Saccharomyces cerevisiae S288C: one gene and its partner. The gene in region 2 interacts genetically with the main gene of each other region. Each region holds a gene or a part of one and is shown on either strand. Other genes may lie near its edges. The genes, in order: PFY1 and ILT1.

Evidence for each region.
Region 1: mutations in ILT1 (region 2) and PFY1 impair growth when combined (synthetic growth defect), as found in Saccharomyces cerevisiae (2 studies listed by BioGRID, with this or other methods).

The regions. Positions count from the first base shown.
Region 1 is NC_001147.6:548,423-558,387, forward strand, and holds PFY1 (profilin), read right to left. Parts: upstream 4,466-9,965; coding exon 4,453-4,465; intron 4,244-4,452; coding exon 3,876-4,243; downstream 1-3,875. Other genes in the region: RTC5 (Rtc5p), read left to right, coding at 1-138; protein kinase RIO1, read right to left, coding at 370-1,824; glycerol 2-dehydrogenase (NADP(+)) GCY1, read left to right, coding at 2,692-3,630; Paf1-complex subunit LEO1, read right to left, coding at 4,754-6,148; ubiquitin-specific protease UBP2, read right to left, coding at 6,402-9,965. UniProt on the Saccharomyces cerevisiae protein: Binds to actin and affects the structure of the cytoskeleton. At high concentrations, profilin prevents the polymerization of actin, whereas it enhances it at low concentrations. By binding to PIP2, it inhibits the formation of IP3 and DG.
Region 2 is NC_001136.10:624,201-639,846, forward strand, and holds ILT1 (Ilt1p), read right to left. Parts: upstream 1,799-15,646; coding exon 866-1,798; downstream 1-865. Other genes in the region: VTC5 (Vtc5p), read left to right, coding at 1-521; RLI1 (Fe-S cluster-binding ribosome biosynthesis protein), read right to left, coding at 2,508-4,334; E2 ubiquitin-conjugating protein UBC13, read left to right, coding at 5,676-5,705, 5,974-6,405; aminophospholipid-translocating P4-type ATPase DNF2, read left to right, coding at 7,082-11,920; histone demethylase GIS1, read left to right, coding at 12,939-15,623.

The DNA of each region.
Region 1 (9,965 bases), on a different chromosome or scaffold from region 2:
CAAATCAAACAGTTGGAATGGGAAGAAGCAGAATCTAAAAGAAGACAGCAAATTAACCTGAGAAGCTTGGGAGAAGACCGTGCCTTACTGGAAATGGCAGGTTTAGTTGGCCAACATCAAGGTGGCGGTTCAATGTGATGCCTGCCTTTTTTGCTGTTTTTAGTTATTGGGATTGATTTCACTAAAAATCAAGACCACTAAATAAGGCTATTGTTTATTTTAATATTTATTGCACTTGTATGAAAAGTACCAAACTTTTGATACTGATATTACACTTTTAGTCTTGAACTTTCTTCGTTAAATTGCTGACCTACTTTCTGTTCTTCGACTCCAAACAACGATTCCCAAATGTATTTTCACAGGGCCGCATTATTTCTTTGATTTCGTTTTTTTCACCAATTTTTTCTTGATGTGCTTCTTGACTTTTGTTTTCCTTTTTTCTCTTTTTGCATCTTTAGCTTCCTGCTTGCGCAATTTTTTTAAATCCTTGTCCTCATGTTTCTTCCCCTTTAAAACTTTTGGTTCATCATCGTCATAGTACTCGCCCTCCTCCTCGTCATCTTCTTCAGATCCGCTTGAGCCGTCTTCTTCATCATCTGAGAATTCCTCTGTGCCAGAACTACATTCGTGGTCAGCGTTATCAAATTCAAATTGCTCAGAAGCAGCAAAATTGCGTTCATTATCATGGGCAATCAAGCTTTTCAGTAAGTCAAACTTACCATCAGTATACCTATCAAAATCTCTTTCCTCTAATCCACCCAATGATCTAACTAAATGCAGCGATCTGAATATTTCATCTTCTGCCTCATCTTGTTCTGTAGATTTTATTGGTAGATTACTAGCAATGTATGCAACCAAGGCGCTAATATTGTTATAATCACCTTTAAATTTCTCCAAAGTTTCTGATATGACAAATTGAAAAATAACCCTTTCAGGGAAAATACTTATACCCATCTTCTCGAAATAAAGGTTAACGTTTTTGATATCCATCCTTAAAAAATCTAAACTCATTGGATGTTCAGGTTCCACACTTTGGGAAACATCGATCATATATAGTTTATCATCATGAACTATGGTGTTATACTCTGACAAATCGGCATGAACCAGGCGACAAACTTGGTACAGCAATCTCATATATGCCACCATTGTGTGATAATAATGGAAAATTTCATCACGATTCTTGTACGGATAATCTTTTAATTTAGGTGAGGCAAATCCATTACCTCGGCTTAAAAATTCCATAACTAAGACGTTGTTCTTAACTTCTATTGGCTTAGGAGCTGGAATGACGCCACTTTGATAAATTCTTTTCAGGTTCCTAAATTCCTTTTCAGCCCAAATTTTAATCATTTTCCTTGGATTATGTTGAGATCTGGAATTTCTAAATCTAAATTCACCATCAACATATCTTTCACGATCTTTGAAGACTAGGATAGAGGTCTTATAAATCTTAATGGCATATTCTGCACGGGATCCGTCTGTCTCTAAAACTTCATACTGGCCTGTTTCCTCATCTATTACGGGTGCCTTACCGGTACCTGCAAAAGCGTGGTAAACATTAGCTTCTTTCCCAGTACTTAAGCAACCGTTCAAATCTGCAATCACACCTCTGGTGACCATAGACTTCAAAAATCTCATAGTTCTCGGATCTAAGACATTTTCCACAGTCGCCCTATTTGCTTTATCCTTTGATGTTTTCGCTCTGCTGAATGATAATTCATCAGTTTTTATTTTGTGACTATACTTCTCTAAGAGCTGATTATTAATATGGTCCGAGGCACCTTGCGACACAGACAATGAATCAAATTTATCTTCCAAGGACATGACCTTCTAAAAATAACGGAGTTTGAATCTCTAAATCTGTTTTAACTTCTTTTTACTATTATTTTTAGTCTTAGTATCTCATCTCATCTCAATTTCTATATTCCACTATAAAATTTTTCACTCTTTCTGCGCGCGCCAATGTCCCCGCAACTACTCAATAGGTAACATGAGAATATTTCAGTTCGTAAGAGAGAAGAGATGAAGTTATTTGGGCTCTTTGCTCGAGGTTACAGAAGGGCCGCATTAGAGTGAATGAGCTGATGATATTTCGCCCAGTTCTACATTTTTTTTTTTTTGGAAGTATGACCTCTGTTAAATTTTTTTTTTTTTAAATTTCACTTTCTAAAGTCCCAGAAATCCGCTTGAATGTCTTACATATTGCAATGGATATGCTTGGGTGATCATACTTCCTGGCTTTAGATATTTGAAACTTAACTCTTGTCAACAAACTTCCTATGGAGTGTATAAGAATTGTAAGTTATAACACCGGCGAACAATCGGGGCAGACTATTCCGGGGAAGAACAAGGAAGGGCGGTCTTTTCTCCCTCATTGTCATAGCAAGGTCATTTCGCCTTCTCAGAAAGGGGTAGAATCAATCTAGCACGCAGATTGCAAACACGGCTTAATAATATGCCTATCAGGCATTCACCCGTGTGACGAATCGCACACCGCTGCTCTCCTTAATTCCCTAGAGTAGAAACCGAGCTTTCAGGAAAAGACTACGGCAGTAAAGAATTGCTTTACTGGGCGTATAAAACCGGGAGAATCAAGACATTCTAATGACTTGATTCAGGATGAGAGCTTAATAGGTGCATCTTAGCAAGCTAAAATTTGGACAGCTCTCATTACTAAATTAAGATAGAAAAATGCCTGCTACTTTACATGATTCTACGAAAATCCTTTCTCTAAATACTGGAGCCCAAATCCCTCAAATAGGTTTAGGTACGTGGCAGTCGAAAGAGAACGATGCTTATAAGGCTGTTTTAACCGCTTTGAAAGATGGCTACCGACACATTGATACTGCTGCTATTTACCGTAATGAAGACCAAGTCGGTCAAGCCATCAAGGATTCAGGTGTTCCTCGGGAAGAAATCTTTGTTACTACAAAGTTATGGTGTACACAACACCACGAACCTGAAGTAGCGCTGGATCAATCACTAAAGAGGTTAGGATTGGACTACGTAGACTTATATTTGATGCATTGGCCTGCCAGATTAGATCCAGCCTACATCAAAAATGAAGACATCTTGAGTGTGCCAACAAAGAAGGATGGTTCTCGTGCAGTGGATATCACCAATTGGAATTTCATCAAAACCTGGGAATTAATGCAGGAACTACCAAAGACTGGTAAAACTAAGGCCGTTGGAGTCTCCAACTTTTCTATAAATAACCTGAAAGATCTATTAGCATCTCAAGGTAATAAGCTTACGCCAGCTGCTAACCAAGTCGAAATACATCCATTACTACCTCAAGACGAATTGATTAATTTTTGTAAAAGTAAAGGCATTGTGGTTGAAGCTTATTCTCCGTTAGGTAGTACCGATGCTCCACTATTGAAGGAACCGGTTATCCTTGAAATTGCGAAGAAAAATAACGTTCAACCCGGACACGTTGTTATTAGCTGGCACGTCCAAAGAGGTTATGTTGTCTTGCCAAAATCTGTGAATCCCGATCGAATCAAAACGAACAGGAAAATATTTACTTTGTCTACTGAGGACTTTGAAGCTATCAATAACATATCGAAGGAAAAGGGCGAAAAAAGGGTTGTACATCCAAATTGGTCTCCTTTCGAAGTATTCAAGTAATTGTTTTTGCGTGTTTCTCGTATGATTGTAATATGTAGATAAATTAAACATAAGTATATCAAATGTCGATATTCTTAAGACTGTTTCGTAAATATGTTAAATACCGGATGTGACTACATATAAAAAGTGCGCCTTTTACAGTGATAATTAGCGTCAATCAATAAAATATTTGTAAAATAGGAAGCGAAATCCCGCAGATGCCAGAATAGGTGGTGTATAAGGCAAGAAAACTTTACCTGCATAAATTAGTATTGAACACCAATCAAGTAGTCAGCCAATTGCTCGACAATCTTGGTGGCCTCACCGGCTTGTACGGTTGGTGGATAATGAGCAATAATAACGGTTTGCTTAGTTCTTACACAAACAACACCCTCAGCATCATGTCTACCGTAGATACTTCTATCGTCAGCTCTCAACAACATGAACTTTTGGCCTTGAATATGCAAACCATTGCTTTGCAAACCAGCTGGATTGTCGAAGCCTTGAACAATTTCACCAATTTCGTTTGGTTGCAAAGATAGGCCACCAGAAGTAGCCCAAACAGCGTCACCTGCTCTCGAGTAGATGACAGCTTTGTCGACTTTACCGGTTCCTATTAAGTTATCAGTGTATGCTGTTTAAAAGTAGGAGAAAAAAACGGAAAGAAATTCATGTTTGAAATTTCATATGTTTTTTGATATTCCAGTTAGTAATTTACTCTGAGTGGTTAATCTTCGAAATTACGCGCATCAACAAAAATCGGGCATTGCCAAACATTGTCACACAAGCTAACCTCCGACTCATTTCTTTCTTAATCAATTGATAATTGTCTCGTTCACATACCTTGCCAAGACATAATTTGCGATCGTAGTTGGGTTTATGTTGTGTATGTAATTTATCTTTTCTCAAGGATCACACAGTTGTTTTAAGAAGGGAATGAGAAAGGGTCAACTGAGCTTTAAAAAGAAAAAAAATATTAATGCGGGTAATGAGTTTCGTACAAAGACATTTCATGGCGTGTTCTCGCCAAAAATCATGGTAAAACCTCCCACACAGTAACCTCATACTAAATACTACAACATGTCATCACTCCATTTCTTTGCGATTGTACATACTAATATATATAAACAAAGTAACGTCTCCTCTAATCCTCGTCTTCGTCGTCCTCGATGACCGCAACCCTTCTTCTTTTTGTCTCGCTCCTATCTTTTTCTTCTTCTTCCTCTTCTCTGTACATTGCTGCTCCTTCTCTTTTTAAATTTCTTAGACGAGAGGCGTTCTCTTCATCCGCGTCCTCTTCTTCTTCTTCTTCCTCATTATCATCCTCTTCGTCGTCAAACGCAGCCTCCTCTTCCTCATCGTCGTCGACTAAAAAGTCATCTTCTTCATATTCATTTCTTCTCGAGGCTCCATAGGTAGTGGGTGAATTTTGCTTTCTAAATCCCGTCTCAAAAGCGGCATCTGGGGATTCTTGTTTCTCCTTTTCTTTGAGCTGTCTTCTCCTTCTGTCTCTTAAAATCTGGCTTTGCTTTCTCTCTAACTCCTTCTTTTCCACTTCAGGATCCATACTTACAATGTATGTTCCAGGACCCTTGCTTTGTCTTTGGTTCCTTCTTATAACAGCTTTACTTAGTTTTTGATGTATTTTTGAATTCGTCGAAGTTGGAATAAACATCAACGTCTTTTTTATTTCACCCCCTTCGTAACACTGGATCAACTCTTGTTGGTCATGCGATACTGTCAAAAAAGTGTTGCTCGTATCGTTGACCAATATATCTGTACACTCTTCACCAACTTTTAGCGAATATGTACCGTCTGACCACTGCACTATTTGTGTATTTGATTCTTTAAAGACATGTTGGTCTTTGTCACGAGAGTATCTCCATCTAACAGTGTTTTCATCAATCAGGCGGTCGTCCAGTTGATCCTCCCTAGAAGCTGAATTGCTTGCCCTTTCGTTTACTTTGGCCTCAAAACTTGGAGGGTCGAAAGGAATTGGATCGATAGTTAAAAAGTTGGGAATTCTAGCATAGAAAATTTCGTTGTGAGACGCCGTTTCATTCACATTAGCTTTACTTGGAATAATATGTCTGACAAGCTCTACATTTTCCTCTTTAAAAGTGTGAGTAGTCTCATCTTGATCAGAAAAGTTATTAGCATCCTCACCATAAAATTTTCGGGTGTACATGGCTTGCTCCTCTGCTTCATCATCATCTAACCCGAGACTTTCTCTATGACGACTTCTATGGTTGATATTCTCTCCCTCGTCGTCTTCATCACTATCACTATCACTTTTTTCAGTCTCCGATTTTTTAACATCATCATCATCATCGTCATCATTGTCATCTCCAAATAAATCATCTAGTTCTGCGTCTTCTTCTTGTTCCTCTTCTTTAGTATCATCATTTCCATTGACTTCCTTGACATTATCATCTTGAGAGCGGCTTGTTTCCTCATTGCTTGTACTATTGGTGGTAACGCCGACGTTATTGCTGATTTGCTCCTTCTGTGGTTGATCCTGTGGGCTTTCAGATGACATCTTAATTATAGTCCAGTATATCTAATTGGATTACTTTGATTGGACGCACCTAGTTTACGCAACCTATCTACTTAACGACTTTCTTCAGCTTTCGTATTCACTTCTATGAGCTTGTTCTTTTTTTTTTTGTTTTTTCGTTTTTCTTTACGTAGCAGATAGTCACCCGTAACGATTGAATATGGCAAAGCTTTTTACATAATAATGGTACTTATGGCAATAGTGACATTTTACATAAACTCTTCATTGACTAAGACTACTTTAGAATTCTTTTCAATGGCTCAATATCACCTTCTTGTCCTTGTTTGACATATACTAGGAAATATGGAGTTGCAGTGTTACCCTCATTGAAATTGAAGACCTCCTCTTCCTGGACCTCACTGATGGTTTCATCATTGTACTTCCTCCAAATTCCATTGCGATTTCTGTCCTTGATATATATCCAATAGTGACCATAACTGGCCTCGCCGCGATGAATAAAAACCGAAAACAGTGAGTAACCATATTCCTTGAAATCGTCAAATTGATGGCTTATTTTCTCTTCCAAACTGTTGATATCATTGTATAATTTCATCAATTCATTATCGATATTTTGAACGTTGTTTCTCAGCGTCTTTATCACATCATTAGCAGCCTCAATTTTTAAAGGAGTTTTCTTTATGGTATCCGATTCCAATAGCTTGATACTCTCCAAAAATGCATCCTTCCTTGTAAGCCCTGAATCATCACGACTCAAAAGCTCTCTTTGTCTATTTTTCATTACCTTCAACTTTTGCTTCATTTCTTCTGTTTCTTTCTTTTTTGCCAACAATAAAGGGTTCTCTGTATCCGCGTATCTGTCCATGTAAATAACTTCTTTGAATGGTAAGGGCTCAATGGATTTAAACGGCATTAATCTTTCACGATCGTAATAAACTCTTTGGATTTGTACCTGCAAAATAGTAGGAAAAGTTGTAACAGCAACGGTACGTATAACATCACCATACTCTTCCATTGTCAGATATTCGTCTTTAAAATAAGAATCAAACGCATCATAAATATCTTTAGGATGATCGCCAATATTTATCAGTAACGATAGGAATCTTTCAACTTTCGTACGGACTTTATTTGTTGCGGACAAAGGAACAATACTTTGTTTAGTAGTACCATAAAATAGTTGCTTAACCAAGTCATATTGCTCGTTGTCTTCATCATATCGGATAGGCTCTGAACCGCTTTCTATCTGAAATAACACGTTTCCTATGCATTCAGTAACATCTTGTTGCCTACCCATTTCCAAAGCATTTTCTAATTGATCAGAACTGATTTTTGCCACACGCGTAGGTGAAGTTAATCCTGTTGTATCTTCGTTCTCACTTACTTCAGCATCATTCGATTCATTTTTTTTTCTGTTCGCATCTGTACCAACATCGCCATTAAGGCCATCTTCCATTTCTAAATCAATCAGGCTTGTATCCTTTATTTTTGTAGTAAATGCGTCATCCGTTGTTTCCTTCTTTGAATCCGAAAGAACTCCTGTTTGATCAACTACTTTATTGCCTTCCACTTCAAATTCTACTTCAACATTACTTGGAGCAAATGCCAAATATGCTAGCTCTTTTGAGGGTGTTACACATCTTTCTCTTGTATGAACCATCGCATAGAAAAGGTTGCGAAGTTGGTATATGAATTGAATAGATCTTTCCACTTCGCCTCTACTAATTTCTCTTCCACCAATTCTTCTAATATGCCCACTATTAGAGAGGTGGTCATTGAAATTTTCTACCGTTTTTTGATATTCCAATACATATCTTCTTAGTGGCGCAATGGAAAAGTAATATTGTAATAAAGAATTTAGGTAACAGGTGTTCCCGATATTATTAATGCCAGTTGGCCAATTTTCTGGCGGCAAGGAATTTGGATCTATCGTACCAGTTAGTAAGAAGTTGGTGATTAAAGTTGAATTTCTTTCTATACTGATTTTGGTCAATGCTGCCCTCAAAATAAGAAATTGGTCAGGCTCATAAACGTTTTCATCAAACCACTTTTGTTTAAAGATTTTCAAAATGGTTTCGTCAGAGGCATTTTCATTCACTTGAAGAAGCTTCAATGCCTCTTGGTAATCAAGCTTCTCTGGACCATAATAGTTGGAAAACTGTGGGCATTCCTCTGTTAAAAAATTGAACAAATCAAGGCTTCTTTTACTGATAGCAATGGTGTAAAGTGCTCTATCACAATCCAACTTTAATCCGGGAGAGTCGTTAATCTTGACCGAATATGCAGTTTTTATAATGTCTTCATCAACAGACTCGTCAATTGAAAGTGTGTCGTATGCCTGGGATAAAGCTCTGTAGGGCTCATGATCGACGTAAAATTTTAGTTTGTCAGATTTGGTATATTTGGCCAACAATCTTAGAGCATTTTTCAAATTTGTTAGGTGATTAGAGGTTACTTGGCTCTTATTTGATGTTTCATATTTGTAAATAGATAGCAAAGTCGCCTCATTTAATTCGGAGATGTTACACTCTTTAGGGTTAATTTTAAACATTAACAAAGCATTTTCTAGAGCTTCTTGGCCTATAATGTCCTGTTTTCCACAGTAAGCAATCAATTGATATGCCCCCTTCCTATTTGCAATGTATGTCAGTGCGTCAAAATACAGCCCAATATTTTCAGGATCCAAAGAAGACAAAGATTCGTAGTTTCTGATTATATCTCTATCGGTATAATAATGCGAAACGGAAAGATTAATAAAATGAGGTTCTGCGTCCAAAGGCGAATGAGTTTGCTCATTGGAATTTAATAGAATCCTTGCTCTGGATTCTCCCAATAAATGGAACCAAGGTAGTGTTGAGAAAGAAGTTTGTAATGAAGACATTCCCTTTACGCTTTTCGTATTTTTCAAGGGAGAATTAGGTGCCAGTAATGAGGTAGATAGTTGACCCCAAAATATCAGTTGTAAACACTTCCTCACAAACGATTCTCGAATTTTTCTTGTCTCCAAATCGTTTACATAGTCCACCATATCTGGAGGGACGTATTCAGTAAATATCTCATTAGTTTCCTCATCGATTTCTGAGCTTGCTTGAAATCCATACTTGGACGTTAACCATTCAGGATTCAGGTGAGTGTTAAGGGCCAAATTTCCAGAATCAATTGTCTTTGTAGGTTCCGCTTTACTTTTCCTCGTCAAAGGCCCTTTAAAAATTTTAAAAAGTGTGTAAAAACAGTCAACTTGAGATGGCGTCTCGCTTTTATCTAGTGATTCATTTTTTACACACATAGCATTGTATCTCTTCTTAATTGCGTCGGCAGTAAAACTCTCATGCTCTTCAGGTGAATTAAACTCGGGTTTAAAAATTTCAATCAAGATCAGTTTGTTAGTATCATCAGAAACGTAAATACCGTAATCCAACAAATTAGGATCGGAAGAATCAAAAGTCGAAAGGTCTACTCGATCGTATTCGTGCAAATGATCTAGTGAGTGGAATTGAGTAACACCGACATGCTTCTTCAACCGCTCCAGTTCTTGGCGGACTTTTACGCTAACCTTAAGATGATAAATAGGAATTTTAACAATATCATCAAAAGTTGAAATTTGCTGTTCTGCCAGTGATGGATTAAAGATGACCGCCTGAAATACATGTATTTTATTATATTTTGGGCATGAAATGGAATCATACTCGGATTTTGTTTGAAAAACCACTTGATCAGTTAATGAACCCAAGCAGTTAGGGCGAATACTACTTCTGAAAGTTGAGTAAGAAAGCATAGACTCTTTTAAAATACCCCTCGATTGCAGGCCCTTTTGCATGACCTTCGGGTCTGTAGAATTGAGAAA
Region 2 (15,646 bases):
AGTTACGAAACTTGATTCGCCATGACAAGAAAACATCGCCAGATTTGTTTCAAAACTCTAAGCATCCGCATTGTTCATCAACTAACTATGGTTCTGTTGCGTCATTTGGTTCACAATCAACTTCAGCGTCATATGATGACGTTCAAAGGTACTTACAGTATCAACAGCAAGACATAGAGGACTCACAATCTATCTACGAATATAGGCATGACGAAGTTGTTACATTTTTATACTTGTCTGCACTGCTAACATCTTGCATTATGGCAAGTGTATGTCTGGGAATCGTTTTATCCTTGTTTCGCGGGCAAAGTAATAATGAGATAGATTTAGAAATTCAAAATATTCTCATAGCCATTATTATCATTTCCTTACTGGTTTCCCTTATTTTGATCTGTGCGTGCCTGTTGTTGTTATTTAGTCGGTTCACTTTGGCGCCAATCTGGCATTATGTTGGTTGCTTCACAATGTTTTTCTCAGTTACTGGAACAGTGTGCTATGGTATGATTGAAATTTTCTTTTAATTATTTTGGACGATAAAAGTTTTTCATGTGTACAGTCTATATAAAATATGCATATCATGTGGTTACATAAGAAGAATGTTAATCTTGTTTGGAGATTTTGTTTTTGGAAACTTCGCCATTGCGAAGGGTGTTGCAAACTGAATTTCTGTTTAAGTTTTTAATTAATAATCCTTATTTTGATCTTTTCTGATGGCCGTGTTTGAACGCATAGTATTGTGAATATAAGCGAAGTGAAAACCTTTACACCTGCGGCAGATGCCATATTACTGCGCTAGTGGTGAATATTATTAAGCGTGCTATCAAAAAGAGATGAAAACGTGCTAACTAAAAAGGACTCAGATTCGTTACACACTTAGCCTCGAATAACGATCAGGATCTGTTCTAACCACAACTCCATGGACAGCATGCAATGTTTGGGCTCTTGATAACGTCCCCCCATCAGTACTATCGTATATATTAAAATCGTCTGCAAAGCTCGAAGCATCGTCGGGGATTGAACAGTTATCCAGGTTATAGTTAGTAACATTTCGGTCACTCTTGCTAATATCTTGTTCGATTTTTTCATCGGGTTCTTCCTTTTGAGCTTGGCCACTTTCTTCGTCAAAAGTATTGCCTTTAGCTAGGAATCTAAACCTACACCACCATATGAAATGAGACGCGAAAATTCCTAACTCCATTCCAGCAACTATTGAGTATAATATAATACCCATAATATCCATATTACCTAGGATAACACTGATGATAGATAGCCAAGCACCTAATGAATCGATGAATAAGAAGGCAAAGTTGATGCCAATAACACGACCTTTCCTTTTGGCTAGTTCAAAGTAAGGTGGAAGCAGTCCGACAGCTAACAAAACAGATGCAGAAATACCAAAAATCAGATCGGGCCATTTAACACCCTTCTCGTAAAGGGGCCTCAGCCATAATATAAAGCCAACTTCCATGCCAACATCAGCCGCAATAATAGCAGCTACAATCATTACTATTTTGGATCTCGCCATACTGATTGGTGGATAATAACACGATTGGACGAAACTTATAGAACAGAAGAACATAAAAAGGTGTGGTTGAACTTGTAAAATGACATTACCTTTACTAACACAGAAATATATGGCAAATGGAATTCCGGAAACAACCCAGAGGAACATCATCAGTGGTGGCAGCCCCGTACAGTCCTTTTTTTTCCAATTATATATTATTTGCGGAATTAGCTGGACACACCAGCAAACTGTTGCTATAGTAGCTAAAGCGGTAGCAGCCTTTTCAGAGATCATGAATACCTTATTCTTAAATCTATGTTATGTTATAGTATTCCACAGTTTATATTTCAGCGGTTAATTTGAAAATAGAGATCAGCGGAAAGTAGAAGGCACCAGAAGGAAAGCATTATTTATATGAGTTTCGTTTGGTACGAGAAGTGTGATACAGAGGTAATCTACCTATCTAGTCATTGAAAAATGCTATCAAGAAACGGCGTTCTCATATTACCCGAAGCACCTTATCTGGCGCTCACACCGCGGAAATAATTGGGTGATATTTTAGACAAACGGACTTTAATGTCATGCTAAGATAAACGTTCAGTAATGCAGCAAATGCTTATCATGACGACTCGTTTACAAGGTAAATTCGATTACGAAGAAGGTGCGGACAAAATAACGATTAATTAAAATACAATAGGTATATAAAATAAATAGAGAATAAATATAGTGTAGTTGCTTTACAGAAAAATGAAATAAACTGGAGTACGGATCACCGAAGAGGAGGTTGTTCACTTTCAGGTTATGATGTAATGAAGGTGGGAAGTTAGAAATGTATTAGTTGGCGTATATCTAGAAATAAACAACCCGATGCTTGGGAAGGAACTCAATGTAATATAATACTCATTTTGTTTTGCAAAAACATTATAACTCTTAATTATTTCTCCACATTTCTAAACCCAAAAATAAAACAATCGTCCTCTTGGTTCTCCGAATCCCAAGATGCTTAAATACCGGTGTTATCCAAGAAAAAGTAGTTTCCTGATGATTTTTGTTCTTTATCCATTTGGGAATCTAGCTTATTAATTCTTGGTCTGAAGGAGTTTGGATCCCTTCTGAAGGTGACATTCAAATTCTTCAAAAATCTGTTACAACCAGTCAACAAAGATTCAGGGGCTCTTGCGTGAGCATTCTTGGAAGGAATACCTTCAAAAACAATGACCTTATCAGCAAGATAAGTAGCCATGATGAAATCGTGCTCGACAATAAACGCAGTTTTCTTATTATGTAAGATGAATCTTCTGATAACTTTAGAACAGATAATACGTTGTTCGGAATCTAAGTAGGCAGATGGCTCATCAATCAAGTATATGTCTGCTGGGATACCCAATGCCAAGACGATGGCGACTCTTTGTAATTCACCACCAGACAAATGTTGGACTTCTTGATCAATAATATCGTCAATCCTTAAAGGTTTAACGACATCAGTCTGAAACTGTGGATTTAGGAATTGTCCTCTAATTTTCTTGAAAAACAATTGTCTGACAGTACCTGGGAACTTTGGTGCAATTTTTTGTGGTTTCATAGAAACATTCAATTTTGGAATATCTTGTCCTTCATCTGGCTTCAAAGCACCAGCTAGTAATTTGATCAAAGTGGTCTTACCGGTACCGTTTTCACCCATCATAACAAGGATTTCGGAATCGGAGAATTCACCTTCTTCAACATTCAAAACAAAATCACCTTGAGTTTTCTTCAAACTTGGGTAAGAGAAGGCGCGACTAGCAGAGTCATTCTGCAAGTCTTCGGTAGCATCAGCTATTCTAAATTGTAAAGCTTCAGTTCTGAATCTCAGGTTTTCAGCAGGAATATGACCGTCCAAGAATATGTTGATACCTTCTCTGACAGAGGCTGGTAATGTAACAACACCGTAAACAGATGGAACACCATATATGATACAAACGAAATCGGAAAGATAATCCAAAACTGACAAATCGTGCTCAACACAAATAACGTATTTAGTTGGAGCTAGTAAAGATCTAATAATTTGAGCGGCATTCAAACGTTGCTTAACATCCAAATAAGATGAAGGTTCATCGAACATATAAACATCAGCCTCTTGAACACATGACATACCAATGGCAAATCTTTGCAGTTCACCACCAGATAACTTTTCAATATCTCTTTTCAAAACGTTTTCCAACTGTAAAATTTTGATGTAGCGTTTCACATCTTCAGGACTTTTTTCCATTCTCAATTTCAAAAGTTCGCCAACTTTTTGAACCGGACCTTTAATAGCACGAGGAATGTTATCAACATATTGAGGTTTGATTATAGCCTTGATATCATCTTCCAGCATCTTGGTGAAGTAATTTTGTAATTCAGAACCACGGAAATATTTAATAATTTCCTGCCATTCAGGAGGATCATCAAAACGACCTAAATTAGGTTTTTGTTTACCGGCTAAGATTTTCAAGGCGGTAGACTTACCAATACCGTTGGTACCGACTAAACCAAGGACTTGACCCGGTCTTGGTGTTGGCAATCTGTGCAGTTTGAAACTATTGGCAGAGTAACGGTGAGTTACATGGGCTTCTAAATTAGTTGGCAAATTGATAATTTGAATAGCATCAAATGGACATTTCTTAACGCAAATACCACAACCAATACACAAGATTTCGGAAATGAATGCGATTTTTGAAGTTGGAGTGACTTCAATACATAATTTACCAGTTTTCACAACGGGACACGAACGTTTACACTCTTGACGACACTTTTTTGGTTTACATTTATCAGCGCTAACGATAGCGATACGACTGTTTTTATCACTCATTATGGTCTGTCGTGTTTTCTTAAGAACTTTTGCAGAAGGCTAGGTGGAATTCGCGCTGAAACAGATCACAATGAAGATCTAAGAATACAGAAACAATAAAGGTTAATGCCCAGTTTTACATTTTTTTTTTTTCACTTTCACTTTGCTAGCGAGCGATGCGATTGAGAAAAAAAATAGAAAATTTTTTCAGTTGCAAAACTACCCGGCTAGAAATCTGGTTCGATGCACACGAGTAACAAGAGATTGTTTTTCTATCCATGGTATTTGCTTATGAACAGGTGACTGAAGCAGCGTATAGTCATGTTCAGTCTTTACTATGTGAAGGGTAGGATGCTAATGACCGGCTCTTTCTTATCCTCCGCGGTGTTTTAAACGATGCTCCTTTCAAGTACGCTATTCCGTACTATTTTTTACTGTGATAATTTGATCATCAACAACGACGAAAATGACACGTCGGCGGCTAATTTGATATTTCTTTATTTGTGTATTTCCGTTGCAGATACGAGGGCGTTTTACATGACATCAAACTATTAGGAAAATCCTTTTCCAATTCAGTTTGTAGTAAACCATGATAGGCCACAAGACATTTTTTTTCAACTGGGGAGAAATTTAACAAGGACGTCTTTTTTTATTTAGACGATAAAAAACCAAGAAACAAAACTAGTAAAGGTTCTTGGAAGCATTTATCTGGATGCAAAATAATCGTTATTCTTGGGCATGCTGACAATGCTGAAAAAGTTATCCAAACAAAGTAGTCAAATATTCAAGATCACTATTAGATCGCTAAACATTAATTTCTCATTTTGCGACGATACTTTTTTTACAGAATATAAATTCATGTTAATTTTGAGATATTTAAGCGTTTCATCTCTTTTTTTCTGGGCTAAAAAAGCTTTTCGATGTCTAGAAATACTACCAACAAATACTTGAATGCAGAACAAGAAGGAAAAAAGCTTGATACTAGTCAAGCTTAATGATTAGATTCTGCGGGAGCCGCGGGAACAGAAAATACTAACGTTTTAAATATCATTTAAAAAATTACCAAAGTACAATAAGCAGTTTTTTCTTTGCCTTCTCTACATGTGAACAAATATAATGGGCATCTAACAGGAATTTGTTTTCCTTTAAACCATCAAAGAGAATAGTTCAGTTAATTATGCCGCATCCGTATTGTTACCCGAAATTATGGTGTTTTTAAAACAAAGGATAAGTGATTCATTGAAAGATGGCGCGCCACCACGAACCAAAACACCTCTATAGAGAATAGTACTTTACACTCTTCTGTTCTTTTTTTTTCCAATATTAGCAAATAAGGTCAGGTTCATTGTAACATAGTTAGAAATGGCATCATTACCCAAGAGAATAATCAAGGTATGTTCAAACAAGAGCAGTGGATTATATACGAAATCTGAAGTGACGTTTTCGTCTGAGCCGTCACACTCTACACTGTTTCCTCTTGATAATGGCTAGAACTTACATACTAACGCAAAACTTCCAAAACAAGAAGGCTTTTTTTGTCCAGTTTGTAGCAGCGTTCCGCCTTCCCTTTGTCCATATCCGCAAACGCTCATATGGAGGGAATTCAACAGAACAAACTACTAGGGCAGAAAACGCAAAGTCTTTGTGAACTTTCATATAGGAAACTGAGAAATTAGTAAGTGACCCAGTACCTGGCATTACAGCAGAACCACATGACGACAACTTACGTTACTTCCAAGTAACAATCGAAGGCCCAGAACAGTCACCATATGAAGACGGTATTTTCGAATTAGAATTATATCTGCCTGACGACTATCCAATGGAAGCACCGAAAGTACGTTTTTTAACCAAGATATATCATCCCAATATTGATAGGTTGGGCCGTATATGTCTTGATGTGCTTAAAACTAATTGGTCACCCGCTTTACAGATCAGAACCGTCCTGCTGTCCATTCAAGCACTGTTGGCTAGCCCTAATCCTAATGATCCGCTAGCTAATGACGTCGCTGAAGATTGGATAAAGAATGAGCAAGGTGCCAAAGCTAAGGCTCGCGAATGGACGAAATTGTATGCAAAGAAGAAACCCGAGTGATCATTTCTGTATAAGTTTTCTCAACTGAATATATAAATATATATCATTACTATGCTGCTGCTGCTGCAAAAAAAAAAAAATTTACGATAAATGCAAAAACCATAGATGGTCATCTAAAGAGGCGCATTTCTCAAAAATGTAGCGTCGCTAAAATGGTTTTCTCTACCTTTAGTTTTACGCCAGATTTTTACTAGACGCGTTTTAGTTTACTTTTTCCTACCCTGTTCGTTTTTTTTTTTTTTTTCGCACCAAATTTTTCAACCGTTCCATGGAAGCCGGGATCGACCGTCCTACACTAATGTAAGCATTAGTCCGCTCGAGGGTCCACGTTTAATTCCGGATCATAAAGTTTTTAATGTATTTCTTGTTATTATCGCTTTTGTTGATCTTACCTGCTATTGCATAGAGACAGACAATAGACAAACCAGATTCATCGCTTACTCGGTGGTTTACCTCTTAGTATTACTTTCGCTGCTTCTTTCTGCTGTGACAGAGTCTCAGGTGAAACAAATTAATCAAAAGAGTTGATTAAACGCAAGAGCGTTGAGAGAGTTTAAAAAACCATCCGTTTCTTTTTCTATTTGCTTTCACATTGTTCGTACTTTGTTCCTTTTTTCCTAATCCTTTTAATAATAGAATTCTTTAAAAAGAATCATAGCATAAACTCAACACATATATGTCAAGTCCCTCCAAACCCACTTCTCCCTTCGTGGATGATATTGAGCATGAATCGGGATCAGCATCTAATGGTCTGTCGTCCATGTCACCATTTGACGATAGTTTTCAATTTGAAAAACCCAGTAGTGCGCATGGAAATATTGAAGTAGCGAAAACCGGCGGTTCTGTTTTGAAGCGACAATCTAAGCCAATGAAAGATATTAGCACACCCGATCTCTCAAAAGTTACTTTTGATGGAATCGATGATTATAGTAACGATAATGATATTAATGATGATGATGAACTCAATGGTAAAAAAACCGAGATACATGAACACGAAAATGAGGTGGATGATGACCTCCATTCGTTCCAGGCAACACCTATGCCTAATACTGGAGGCTTTGAGGATGTTGAGTTGGATAACAATGAAGGTAGCAACAATGATTCCCAGGCAGATCATAAGTTGAAAAGAGTACGTTTTGGTACAAGAAGAAATAAGTCAGGTAGGATAGATATAAATAGGTCAAAAACATTGAAATGGGCCAAGAAGAACTTCCACAATGCTATTGATGAATTCAGTACAAAAGAAGACAGTCTCGAAAATTCAGCCTTGCAAAATAGGTCTGATGAGTTGAGAACAGTTTACTATAATTTACCCTTGCCGGAGGACATGCTTGACGAGGACGGCTTACCGTTGGCAGTTTACCCGCGTAATAAAATCAGGACTACGAAGTATACTCCATTAACATTTTTTCCCAAGAACATTCTTTTCCAATTTCATAATTTTGCCAATATTTACTTTTTAATACTGTTGATTCTAGGTGCTTTTCAAATATTTGGTGTGACAAATCCAGGTTTTGCATCCGTTCCCCTAATTGTCATCGTAATTATCACTGCTATTAAGGATGGTATCGAAGATTCCAGAAGGACTGTATTGGATTTAGAAGTTAATAATACAAGAACACATATCTTAAGCGGGGTGAAGAATGAAAATGTTGCTGTTGATAACGTTTCCTTATGGAGGCGTTTCAAGAAAGCGAATACAAGGGCATTGATTAAAATTTTTGAGTATTTTTCAGAAAACCTCACTGCTGCTGGTAGAGAAAAGAAGTTACAGAAAAAAAGGGAAGAATTACGAAGGAAGAGGAACTCGAGAAGCTTTGGGCCACGTGGGTCTCTGGATTCAATTGGTAGTTACAGAATGTCTGCCGACTTTGGTCGTCCCTCTTTGGATTATGAGAACCTGAATCAAACAATGTCACAGGCTAACAGGTATAACGATGGTGAAAATTTAGTTGATCGAACGCTACAGCCAAACCCTGAATGTAGGTTTGCCAAGGATTACTGGAAAAATGTTAAAGTTGGTGATATTGTTCGTGTTCACAATAACGATGAAATTCCTGCTGATATGATCTTATTATCGACATCAGATGTTGATGGCGCTTGTTATGTGGAAACCAAAAATTTGGATGGTGAAACAAATCTAAAGGTCCGTCAATCATTAAAATGTAGCAAGATTATTAAGAGTTCAAGGGATATTACCAGGACGAAGTTTTGGGTTGAAAGTGAAGGCCCACATGCCAACTTGTATTCTTATCAAGGTAATTTCAAATGGCAAGATACACAAAATGGAAACATCAGAAATGAGCCTGTAAATATCAATAACTTATTATTGAGAGGTTGTACCTTGAGAAACACTAAGTGGGCCATGGGTATGGTTATTTTTACTGGTGACGATACCAAGATTATGATAAACGCTGGTGTCACTCCAACCAAAAAATCCAGAATTTCAAGAGAGTTGAATTTTTCTGTGATTTTGAATTTTGTACTATTGTTTATCCTATGTTTCACTGCTGGTATTGTTAACGGTGTTTATTATAAACAGAAACCTCGATCGAGAGATTATTTTGAATTTGGTACCATTGGAGGTTCTGCCTCAACTAACGGTTTTGTTTCTTTTTGGGTGGCGGTTATTCTTTATCAGTCATTGGTTCCGATCTCTTTATATATTTCTGTGGAAATTATTAAGACAGCACAGGCTATTTTCATTTACACTGATGTTTTGTTGTATAATGCCAAGCTAGACTATCCATGTACACCAAAGTCGTGGAACATCTCCGATGATTTGGGTCAAATTGAGTATATTTTTTCAGATAAAACAGGCACCTTGACACAAAATGTGATGGAATTCAAAAAATGTACTATTAACGGTGTGTCTTATGGACGTGCCTATACGGAGGCACTAGCAGGCCTGAGGAAGAGACAAGGTGTTGATGTCGAATCGGAAGGTCGTCGCGAAAAGGAAGAGATAGCAAAAGATAGGGAAACAATGATCGACGAATTAAGATCAATGAGTGATAATACACAGTTTTGTCCGGAGGATTTAACTTTTGTATCTAAGGAAATTGTGGAAGACTTGAAAGGATCCAGTGGCGACCATCAACAAAAGTGCTGTGAACACTTTTTGCTGGCGCTCGCATTATGTCATTCTGTCCTTGTGGAGCCAAATAAAGATGATCCTAAAAAACTGGACATCAAGGCTCAATCACCTGATGAGTCTGCCTTAGTTTCCACCGCCAGACAATTAGGGTACAGTTTCGTTGGTAGTTCAAAAAGTGGATTGATAGTAGAGATCCAGGGTGTTCAAAAGGAGTTCCAAGTTCTGAACGTACTTGAATTCAATTCGTCGAGAAAAAGGATGAGTTGCATTATCAAGATCCCTGGCTCTACACCAAAGGATGAACCTAAAGCACTGTTAATATGTAAAGGTGCGGATTCCGTTATCTATTCAAGATTAGATCGCACTCAAAACGACGCTACTTTGTTGGAAAAGACGGCCCTCCATTTGGAAGAATATGCCACAGAAGGTTTAAGAACATTATGTTTGGCTCAAAGAGAGCTCACGTGGTCCGAGTATGAACGTTGGGTTAAGACTTATGATGTGGCCGCTGCATCCGTTACTAATAGGGAGGAAGAGTTGGACAAAGTTACTGACGTTATTGAACGTGAGCTTATTTTGCTTGGTGGTACGGCCATTGAGGATCGTTTACAAGATGGTGTTCCTGATTCGATTGCCCTCTTGGCCGAGGCCGGTATTAAGTTATGGGTCCTAACGGGTGATAAAGTGGAAACTGCCATTAACATTGGTTTTTCCTGCAATGTTTTGAACAATGATATGGAATTATTGGTTGTGAAGGCTTCCGGCGAAGATGTAGAAGAATTTGGTAGTGACCCTATTCAAGTGGTTAACAATTTGGTGACAAAATACTTAAGGGAAAAATTTGGCATGAGTGGATCCGAGGAGGAGTTAAAAGAAGCTAAAAGAGAGCATGGTTTGCCACAGGGAAATTTTGCTGTCATTATCGATGGCGATGCGCTAAAAGTTGCTTTGAATGGTGAAGAAATGAGACGCAAGTTCTTGCTACTGTGTAAGAATTGTAAAGCTGTTTTGTGTTGCAGAGTTTCTCCAGCACAAAAGGCTGCAGTGGTCAAGTTGGTAAAAAAGACCTTAGACGTTATGACCTTGGCCATTGGTGATGGTTCGAATGATGTAGCCATGATTCAATCGGCGGACGTTGGTGTTGGTATCGCGGGTGAAGAAGGCAGACAAGCTGTCATGTGTTCTGATTATGCCATCGGGCAGTTCAGATATGTGACAAGACTGGTATTGGTGCATGGTAAATGGTGTTATAAGAGACTGGCAGAGATGATCCCACAGTTTTTCTACAAGAACGTTATTTTTACGCTATCCCTGTTCTGGTATGGTATTTACAATAATTTCGATGGGTCGTATTTGTTTGAGTATACGTACTTGACATTCTACAATCTTGCATTCACATCCGTACCTGTTATTTTACTAGCAGTACTCGACCAAGATGTTTCCGACACCGTTTCGATGCTGGTGCCACAGTTGTACCGTGTGGGTATCCTAAGAAAAGAATGGAACCAAACCAAATTTCTTTGGTACATGTTGGATGGTGTATACCAATCTGTGATATGCTTCTTTTTCCCCTATTTGGCGTACCATAAAAACATGGTTGTAACTGAAAATGGCCTTGGACTAGACCACCGTTACTTTGTCGGTGTCTTCGTTACAGCAATTGCAGTCACTTCATGTAACTTTTACGTCTTCATGGAACAGTATAGATGGGACTGGTTCTGTGGCCTATTCATATGTCTATCACTGGCCGTGTTTTACGGCTGGACGGGTATATGGACAAGCTCGTCGTCAAGTAACGAATTTTACAAGGGTGCGGCGCGTGTATTCGCACAACCTGCCTATTGGGCAGTACTTTTCGTTGGCGTGCTGTTCTGCCTACTGCCAAGATTCACCATTGACTGTATCAGAAAGATATTCTATCCGAAAGATATAGAGATCGTTAGAGAAATGTGGTTACGCGGTGATTTTGACCTCTACCCACAAGGCTACGACCCTACGGACCCTAGCAGGCCCAGAATAAACGAAATACGTCCCCTTACAGATTTCAAAGAGCCCATTTCACTGGACACTCATTTTGATGGTGTCAGCCACTCACAAGAGACCATAGTCACAGAGGAAATACCAATGAGTATACTCAATGGTGAGCAAGGCTCGCGCAAGGGGTACCGTGTCTCTACCACTCTGGAACGCCGTGACCAGCTCAGCCCCGTTACAACAACGAACAACTTGCCTAGAAGATCAATGGCCAGTGCCCGCGGAAATAAGCTCAGAACTTCGCTGGATCGCACAAGAGAAGAGATGCTTGCCAACCACCAACTGGACACAAGATACTCCGTGGAAAGAGCACGTGCCTCGCTGGATCTGCCGGGTATCAATCATGCAGAGACGCTGCTCAGCCAGCGCAGCAGGGACCGTTAATGATTACAATTTTTTTCTTCCTTTGTACTATGTATACCAATGTGATATGATATAGATTTCATATAGGATGTGATGATGTGTATCACCCGGCACGGCTCTACCCCGCCCTGTGGGGTGTGGAGAAAACGCCGCGCAGAGCCTTGAGTAGGAAGGGGCTGGGTTCTCCCCTTCCTGCCGGGGTCCGCCCGGCGCCAAGAGTAAGAGAGCGAAGCCGGAGACGTAATATGAAAAAAATTTTGAGGGGAAAGGGCGTCCGCAAGGGCAAGGGCAAGGGGAAGGGGTGGCGTTTTGTGCTTCAAGGAATTATATTTCGTTGTTTTCCGCACTATGGCGGCATTGTGGCAAGTAACTACTTTACGGAGAAAGACTAGAAAATGGTTACAACTGCCACTATTACCGCTTCGCATTCTCTTGTCTTACAGGTCCCTTGAATTGGCATTTACGTTTACATCCGATCCGGTTTTTCACCAAAGAGAAAGGAAAGGAAAGGTAAAAATAGCAAACCGAAAAAGAAAACAGTATTTTCTCTCTGTTTAGGATTATTACCACTACTTACTGAAGAGAAGTTTTTAACGTTTATCGTTTGTGTTGAGGTAGAAGTACAAACGCGTGTGTGAGTTGTGTATTTGAAATTATTATCCTTCTACGCATATCGGGAAAAAGTTAACGGAAAAAACAAGAAGAAAACCTCCCCCCTCCTCCTCCCGCCATACAGAAGGCAAAAGAAGTTGGTCTGTTAGGAAGAAAATAGCCAAGTAATAATACGTTTGGCCAGTTGTATTTTTTTTTTGTTTCGCTAAGTCTCTTGCTTACAGAAACTCTTTGCCCACCACATATTTCATCGTTTTTCCTTTCTGTTCATCATTAACCTCCATTTCCCAATTTTTTCCAATTTTCAATTTTTTTCACTATTTGTTTCTTTGTTGGGCGTTTAAAAAGTATTTGCTTCTACAAAGTGAACAACATCGTTGTAATTTTTTTTTTTTAATTTGAAGAATAGCTACAAAAACAGACTACAATGGAAATCAAGCCAGTTGAGGTTATTGATGGCGTTCCGGTTTTTAAGCCGTCTATGATGGAGTTTGCAAATTTCCAATATTTCATTGATGAAATTACTAAATTCGGAATAGAAAATGGTATTGTCAAAGTCATTCCTCCCAAAGAATGGCTGGAGCTTTTAGAAGGCTCACCTCCTGCGGAAAGTTTAAAGACTATACAACTAGACTCCCCGATTCAACAACAAGCCAAGCGATGGGACAAACATGAAAACGGTGTATTTAGCATCGAAAACGAGTATGACAATAAGTCGTACAATTTAACACAGTGGAAGAACTTGGCCGAAAGTCTAGACTCTCGAATAAGTCAAGGTGATTTTAATGATAAAACTTTAAAGGAAAATTGCCGCGTAGATAGTCAGCAGGATTGTTATGATTTGGCACAGTTACAAATTTTAGAAAGTGATTTTTGGAAAACCATCGCTTTTTCGAAACCTTTTTATGCAGTGGACGAAAACTCTTCAATTTTCCCCTATGATTTAACTTTATGGAATTTGAATAATTTGCCAGATTCTATAAACTCAAGTAACAGACGGTTACTTACTGGTCAGTCTAAATGCATTTTTCCATGGCATTTGGACGAACAGAATAAATGCTCTATAAACTACTTGCATTTCGGTGCTCCCAAACAATGGTATTCCATACCGTCCGCAAACACAGACCAATTTTTGAAAATTTTATCAAAGGAACCATCAAGTAATAAGGAAAATTGTCCAGCTTTTATTAGACATCAAAACATCATAACTTCTCCCGATTTCTTGCGAAAAAATAATATAAAATTTAATAGAGTGGTGCAGTTCCAACATGAATTCATCATTACTTTCCCTTATTGCATGTACTCCGGATTCAATTATGGTTACAATTTTGGCGAATCTATTGAGTTCATATTAGATCAGCAAGCTGTCGTTAGAAAGCAACCTTTAAAATGCGGCTGTGGAAACAAGAAGGAAGAGCGAAAATCTGGTCCGTTTTCAAATTTATCTTATGATTCTAATGAGTCGGAGCAACGAGGCTCCATTACTGATAATGATAACGATTTATTTCAAAAAGTTCGAAGTTTTGATGAATTACTAAACCATTCCTCTCAAGAGTTACAAAATTTAGAAGACAATAAGAACCCCTTGTTCTCCAATATTAATATGAACAGACCGCAAAGTAGTTCTCTTCGGTCTACTACCCCTAATGGTGTAAACCAGTTCCTGAACATGAATCAAACTACCATAAGCAGAATTTCTTCCCCGTTGTTATCAAGGATGATGGACTTATCAAATATTGTGGAACCCACTTTGGATGATCCGGGTTCCAAGTTCAAAAGGAAAGTTTTAACTCCGCAATTACCGCAGATGAATATTCCGTCTAATTCTAGTAATTTTGGCACCCCTTCTCTAACTAATACAAACTCCTTACTATCTAATATAACGGCTACATCAACCAACCCATCGACAACTACAAATGGCAGCCAAAACCACAATAATGTTAACGCCAATGGCATTAACACCTCTGCAGCCGCATCTATCAATAATAACATTAGCAGTACCAATAATAGCGCTAATAATAGTAGTAGTAATAATAACGTTTCCACTGTGCCTTCTTCAATGATGCATTCGTCCACTTTAAATGGGACTTCAGGTCTAGGCGGCGATAACGATGACAATATGTTAGCTTTAAGTTTAGCGACACTGGCTAACAGCGCTACTGCGTCACCAAGATTGACGTTACCGCCGCTGTCGTCACCAATGAATCCGAACGGCCACACCTCATATAATGGCAATATGATGAACAACAACAGTGGTAATGGTAGCAACGGTAGCAACAGCTATTCTAACGGTGTGACTACGGCTGCTGCCACAACTACATCAGCGCCTCACAATCTATCCATAGTGTCCCCTAATCCAACATACAGTCCGAATCCCCTATCTCTTTATTTGACCAACTCCAAAAATCCATTAAATTCAGGTCTTGCACCCTTATCACCTTCAACATCTAACATCCCATTTCTCAAGAGGAATAATGTGGTTACATTAAATATTTCAAGAGAAGCTTCAAAGAGCCCTATATCTTCTTTTGTAAATGACTATAGATCTCCGTTGGGTGTAAGCAATCCACTCATGTATTCTTCCACAATCAACGATTATTCAAACGGTACTGGAATTCGCCAAAATAGTAATAATATTAATCCCTTAGATGCAGGTCCATCTTTTTCTCCTCTCCACAAAAAACCCAAAATACTCAACGGTAATGATAATAGCAATCTGGACAGTAATAATTTTGATTACAGTTTCACGGGTAACAAGCAAGAATCTAATCCATCAATCTTGAACAATAATACTAATAATAATGATAACTATCGTACATCTTCAATGAACAATAACGGCAACAATTATCAAGCGCATTCTTCTAAGTTCGGTGAAAATGAGGTCATTATGTCAGATCATGGTAAGATTTACATTTGTCGGGAATGTAATAGACAGTTTTCCTCTGGTCACCATCTAACAAGACATAAAAAGTCAGTTCATTCCGGTGAGAAACCCCATTCTTGCCCAAGATGCGGTAAAAGATTCAAGAGAAGAGACCATGTTCTGCAACATTTAAATAAAAAAATTCCATGCACTCAAGAAATGGAAAATACTAAATTAGCTGAATCATAGGTCAAGAAAATGATATACAAAAT